2 linked regions of the Daphnia pulex genome follow. The protein of the gene in region 2 purifies or fractionates together with the protein of the main gene of each other region. This does not show direct contact. Links are inferred from orthologs where the notes say so. Each region holds a gene or a part of one and is shown on either strand. Other genes may lie near its edges.

Region 1 (2,709 bases), on a different chromosome or scaffold from region 2:
TAAATTAAATCAAAGTGAACAAATTCATAACATTTTTAAATTTGTGAACCAACCTTGAGATTTCCTTTGTAAGATTTATTCAATTTATCCTGTTCTTGTCTTTCGTTTAAATCTTTTACCATTTTTTTGTGCCATTTTCTTGGCATTGTGATTGTCTCTGGTTTTGAAACTGTCGATATTGCACGACTAAATAATTTCAGCGACTTCATTACGAGAAATCGTTCCATGTTGAATTGGTTGCTTCTTATAGGAAGTAAATTAAACTTGCTCAATTTTATACCTATAAATAAGCTGGATGCACGATGCACACATGTACAGCACACACCATTGCAGCCGACACAACAGATGTTTCATTACTCTCTTTAAGCTTTCTAGATGGTCTTCCATGTAAGTTTCACTGTTTCTAGAGAATTATTTCATGGACATCCCCTTTAAATGATCTCTGCCTAAGTAATAAAGTTCAACAAAACATCATCATACAAATAAAAAAAACAATTAACATATTTATTTACTTGTACTTGGTAGGATTTGCGACATTCATTTATTTAGACCCTTAGACTGAATGACGAAAATGACGTCCGAATGACGCATATCCGTGCCTTAGGCCTTAGCTTAATATTATAAAATGTGATAAAAGAGGTTTAACCTGTTTCAAAACAAGTTGGAGAAATAAAATTAATCATTGCAATTTCCAACACATTTACAGTTTTAAGATTGTTCTGCCTCTTTGTCAGAAACATTTTATTGAACGTCACAATTTCGGGGTTAAGAGAAAAACAGAAGTATAAACGGAAAGATGAATGAAATTTCCCATTAAGGAGCTTTAGCTGCTTGACGTCTCAACAAAATGTAGATTTTTTCTTTAATCCAGTCCTTATTGTATGGAGCATAAGTATTGCTGATCTTCTGGTACCTGAAATAAAAATAAACATGGAATTAGTTCCCTTTAAGAATTTAAATCAATGAAATGAAATAAATAATTGAAAATTATATTTTTTTAAGGGTTAATCATTAATTCAAAAGGTGTCTTTTCAATAATATAAAATGAGCCCTTACACTAGGCAGGAGAGATCGGTCAACTGATCAATGAAGTCAAACAATTGGCTGATATCATATGTGATGCTAGGAGTGTTTGGATTCAGTCTTTTTAAATGCTCTTCGTAGATTTTACAAACACCTTCCATACATTCGTTTACTGATTCATAATCAGAATACGTTCTCGTCTCCGGCTTGGGTCCGGGCTGGACTAGTAAGATCGTGTGAGACTAAAAATGTGGTATAGGAAAAATACATTAACTTATCAATTCCAACAGCAGGAAGCGTTTTTGTTTCAAATTAACTAACCATTTTTGTTTCTGTCTTGGAACGTTGTTTTAAAATCTTTAAATTCGCATCCAGGTTTGTTTTCTCGGAAAACTTTCAGTGCAGTTTTTTGGAGAAGCCTATTGTTAAAACGTTGCATAATTTCAAAATAGATGCAATCGCGCAATGAAGTCAGAAACAAATAAAAAGATATAAAGTCAGAAATCGTTAATATCTAACTTCCAAAAATTTAATTAAAATAATTACAATTTTTAAAGAAGTTTAAATTGACATGTATCAAAATTATTTTACGAATAAAATAAAGATAGTATAATTTAGCCTTTAGGGGCAATATGGCAACTTCCCGTCTTTTCAAAACAAACCAGCAAAACAAATATAATATACCGTCTCTAACCATTATTAATAAAGAAAAATTAAATCGGGAAATCGTAAACAGAAGTGCCCAATTTGCTTTGCTATCTGTATATATTATGCCTTAAAGTGAGACGTAATTTTTGTTTAAACTTAATTGATATGGCAACCAGTTTTCCATAAGAATTCCGTTAAATTTTGTGTCGGGAAAAATGAAGAGTAAAATGAAGAAAATGAAGCATTATAAAAGGATTAACCTTTTTGTAATACCAGTTACAGCTATAGCTGGGGATACTATCACCCAGTACATGTACCCCTACATATCGTTACTACTTAAATGCATAACTGATAGTGCCACTCATTTCCTTATAGCATCACTTTCGTGGAATTATGTAGACAATGTGTCATTCAATAAAAGAATTAATTTTGTTGCCATTATTATATGTGGATCAATGGCTTCTGCAATTGATATTGATCATTTTTTGGCTGTTGGAACTACCAGTCTTGAAGTAAATATTCATACAAATTCCAGTTTAAGTTTTTTAATCTGAGTAAATCCCATTTTCTACAGGAAGCTACATCTCTGCCTCACAGACCAGTTTTACATTGCACAAGTCTGTTTACAGTTGTTGCTCTACTATTGGCCTTACTTTCCATCAGAATTCATTCCATCTGTCTTCTCAAAATGTCTGTAATTATTGTTACTGCTACTTGGACTCATCATTGGAGGGATGGATACAGACATGGAATTTGGATCTGCCCAATTGGTTCCACTCCACCTTATTCATACTTTGTTTACCTCATCGGCCTTATAGTTTTGCCTATAGGTTTGCAATTTGGCTTGAAGTTTATCACTGACATAGTCACAAAATCGAACGTAAAACACGTAGCACCGATATTTTTAATATAAATTTCAGCTTCCCCATTTACTGATCTTGATAAGTTAATGCAGAATGTCTTGTTTTTGTGTTTCTCTTCTACTACAGCACTTAGTGGTTACAGTTAATAAGCAAAAAATATAAATTTATTATCTAC
Region 2 (3,953 bases):
CTGACGATTGGCACGATCTAATTGCATATGCTGTACACATATTTAATCTGAGCCGTGGCAAAATTGGCAACACATCACCTGACCGAGAGACTAGTGAATTTTCCAATCAAGACGATTGGCGTTCGATGGAATTTGAAAGTCTCACTAGCCAAACTTTTAACAACGACGATGACGAGTTTGAAAATCTCCGAACCGATTTTGAGTCGCTACTTATTCTACTCAAAGGCGATGGTAAGTCTTATTATTTTTTTATAACACCCCATCTTGTTTAAGCTATATCTAATGTATCGATAAATATAGGATTTCAGAAACAACTCGATTGGATTCAGTCGTCTTTATTGACGGCCTGTGCAGCACGTTTGGGCATTTACTCCGACCACGAATTCCGTCATCCAATTACCTGTTTGAGCTTGAAATTGAATACGCCATGCCCGATAGTCCCTTGGACGGAAGCGGAAGCCTCCGCATTGAGTTCGAAACCCTTTCGCTTTTTTCTGCGTCAACTGGGTCTTTTCCCTTCGCTTCCTAACGCTGGCACCTATCCAAGGATCCCACTCGAATGGTCACCAGACACTCTGTACAATGTTGCTCTTTCGTTGGGTTCCGTTGCCCATCAGCAAGTTGATTTCGACTTGAGTTGTGTAGGAAAATTGTAGCTTATCCATTTAATTTAGCTTCGATCGGTCCCGCTTGATTACTGCTGGCCAATCATTAGAGTAATTTGTTGTAATTTTGTCTATGATCAGCGACGATTAAATGAAGGAACAAAAATCAAATTAGTGTTGAGGTTAATCATTTGTATTTTTTGGGATGAGTTTCTCTTTCTCGTTTCACAGGCACACCTTTTCACACTCAAGTCCTCGGATGAAATATGAATGAATTATAAAAAGATACATGTGCTAAGTGCGCCGTAACAGGAGGGAAAAGCAAGAAACACACGGCAAAAAGGGACTCCAAAAACTGGGGGAAAGTACAAGAACCATTTAATCAAGTGCTAGAATGAAATCAAGACAAGGTTGTCCAAAATCTCTTTTTTCTGTCTAGACTCTTCACAACAGTCCAACCATTTTCTCAAAGACAAATTCTGAATTGGATTCACTTTTAACTTTAAGGACTAAAACATTGTTAATAGTCAATCAAGACTTGGCGAAGGGGAGTTATTAGTAAGAAGGTTCTTTCGTTTGAAGTTGGGGAGCAGCACAGGTGAGGTAACGACTGGAGAAAGATTATTGCATATTTAATTCATTTCAACGTCCCCAATTTTAGACATGTAGGATTCAATATCATTGTCTAGAGCGCTACGAGTCTTTTGCATGTACTGATCCAATTGCTTGTCCAAATCTTCTTTGCTGACCTTGGTAGAGCCACCTCGACCACGCCCTCGACCACGTCCGGATGTCTGACCGCGCGGAGATGTCGGCAAGCTGCTTCCTCCACGACTGGGTCCCTTACCACCACGTTGGCCTCGTCCTCTTCCTCTTCCACGCTGGATACGACTTTCAGCTTGCCCGGTAATCAATGAAGATGTCATCTGCCCTCGACCACCTCGTCTTCCTCTCACGCTGCCTCTAGCACGCGAAGGTTTGGTCGGCGAACGATTGGTTGTGGCAGCAACGGGGGCTGGCTTTTTCGATGGAGAAATGATTCTTCCGCGAGTGCTTCTCTTGTTTCCTTGTCCACCGCCACGAACGATTGTTTGGCTGACAATGGGCTTCAGTCCGCCCCGGCCTCGAATTATCTTTGTTGGGGTGACCGTTTGCCCTTGCGTTCGACTTCCTCGCAGAGATCCTCGCGACTGACTCCCGCGACCAGCTCCACGATTGGTTGTGAGTCTCCTTTGAGTTTGGGTGGCCGTTCCGCGAAATCGAGTACTGGTGTTTACTGTGGCTCCAAGGCGTTGTTTGATGCTTTTCTGAATAACAGTATAAATGATGTAAGTATATCTGGTTATGAATTAAAAACGAGGAATTGCACCTTTTTCAGTTTCAAAGCAGCACTGACTGATGCATTTCGTCTTTCCATCTGTTGAGCTAGTCTGCTATTCTTGCTTGATGCCTTTTGAAGATTAGCTGCATTATTTCTAGCCCCTTGCAGTTTTCCAGCCAATTTCTGACCCCCTGCTGAGCTTCGTAATTTGGAGAATCTGTAACGAAAAATTTTCATGCGTTAAAAATCAGCAAATGAGAAGAAAATCAACACATACTTTATAAAAGCAAGGAAATTCAATGTTTAACAGGGGGAAAATTGCGGCAAACAACTATTTCAATCGCATATACGACATAACAAACCCAAATTGCCTAATGATTTATACCTTTCATGTAAGGATAAGGAAGTTGAATTATTTGGTACTCTGCCTCCTGAAGCCATTTTGTGCTAGAATACTGCTGAACCAAAGTTCAATTACGGTCAAGAAAATGCCGAAAACAGATAATTTCGAGCTATCTAGAAATGTTTCTCGTGAAGTCAATGAAAACAATTGCTGATGTTTGCCCGGCTGTGAACTAATGACGCTCAACTTTTTTCGACTGCTATTGGGTAGTAAAGTGACACCTAGCGGAAAAAAGAAAGTATGTCGTGATTTACGATTGAGTAAGAGTGCATGTTTTAAAAAATGTGGGTGGAGGAAATGTTTTATGGGTGTAGAATCATGTCAATAATTAAATATACTAGATAATACAGAAAGTGAAAGAATTGGAAATCTGTATTTATTTGAAATCAATGTATTCATTCTGTAAAACAAAATCAGATGACAAGCAGAAATGAATCTTTGTTTTTTTATCGTATGAGATGGTCAATAGTGTTTTATAAAAAGAAATTAGGCGGCCACTACTGTAGGAGTACTGCTTCCGTTTTCCTCAGCTTTAACTGCCGGAACGGCTTTCTCTGGATTGAATGTTGTCCAGCGAGCTTCATCTAGTGCATCCCACAAATCCTGATTGCGCTCAAAAAGTTCTCTGTTCAGTTTCTCAATATCGACGGGTGTATTGTGTTCTATGAGCTCAAACTCATCTTCTTCAGGTTGAGCAGGCATTTGCCCAGCAACGCCATATCCGGCATAAGCTTGTTGACCATCATAGCCGTATCCGCCTTGGTAACCATATCCTTGCCAGCCACCGTACTGTTGCCAATAGGCTGGATCGACGTACTGTCCGTAGCCAGCTGCTGCAGCAGCAGCTTGAGGTTGAACTGGCTGGCCGCTGGCTGCGGCCTGGACAATTGACGAAGCAATCGATGCAGTTAACGTAGAAGTAGAAGATGTACTGGATGAGGATCCTAAAAGTTAAAAGAGTATGAAATGAAATGTACTCCAAAGAAAAGTTTAAGCGTGCATTTACCAGGTATCATGTTGTAATTACGAGGAATAGCCAATGAAACTCTAAGTGGGTTGCTGCCGAGTCCTCTGTGACCTTGCATATGTGTCAGCGCATCTTTGTAATCACTTTCATTAGAAAAATTAACAAACGCATAGCCGCGACTTTCTCCATTGCTGCCTCTGACCACTAAACATAAAATACGAGAAGTTCAGATAATTGCCAATAAAATCATTACAGAAATTTTACAAATTACCCTTTGCCAATTGAACTGAGTTATATTTTGCAGAAAAACATTTGTAAAGGCCATAGTCATCTACATCAGCACTCAAATCTCCCACCCACAGTGCATGATCGGCTGTAGAACCTTTAGTGTTTGTGCTGTGATTTAACTTGAAACGGCTTGGCTAAAAGTGGGAAAACAGATAATATAACTAATATAAATTATGGTAAATTAAAAGTTAATACACTACCGGCTGACTGTATGGAATGATTTTGCCATTCAATTTGTGTAGAACTTCCATTGCTTGCTTTTCATCTCGAAACTGACAAAATCCAAAACCAGCAGGTAATCCAGTGTGCTTATTTCTCATGACTTTGATGGCTTCAGGTTTTTCTCCCATTAATTCAAAAGATCGCATA

The links.
Region 1: the proteins of chromatin target of PRMT1 protein-like (region 2) and enhancer of rudimentary homolog purify together in Homo sapiens (affinity purification with mass spectrometry; 3 studies listed by BioGRID and IntAct, with this or other methods). This does not show direct contact. The link is inferred for Daphnia pulex from reciprocal best matches to the Homo sapiens genes CHTOP and ERH.

The regions. Positions count from the first base shown.
Region 1 is NC_060018.1:8,869,607-8,872,315, forward strand, and holds enhancer of rudimentary homolog, read right to left. Parts: upstream 1,449-2,709; 5' UTR 1,348-1,448; coding exon 1,345-1,347; intron 1,266-1,344; coding exon 1,057-1,265; intron 914-1,056; coding exon 814-913; 3' UTR 700-813; downstream 1-699. Other genes in the region: probable ATP-dependent RNA helicase DDX28, read right to left, coding at 54-227; transmembrane protein 267-like, read left to right, coding at 1,887-2,183, 2,246-2,584. UniProt on the Homo sapiens protein: May have a role in the cell cycle.
Region 2 is NC_060027.1:3,847,241-3,851,193, forward strand, and holds chromatin target of PRMT1 protein-like, read right to left. Parts: upstream 2,524-3,953; 5' UTR 2,368-2,523; coding exon 2,312-2,367; intron 2,144-2,311; coding exon 1,975-2,143; intron 1,913-1,974; coding exon 1,238-1,912; 3' UTR 783-1,237; downstream 1-782. Other genes in the region: protein timeless-like, read left to right, coding at 1-231, 301-656; tRNA selenocysteine 1-associated protein 1-like, read right to left, coding at 2,816-3,273, 3,336-3,500, 3,568-3,718, 3,785-3,953. UniProt on the Homo sapiens protein: Plays an important role in the ligand-dependent activation of estrogen receptor target genes. May play a role in the silencing of fetal globin genes.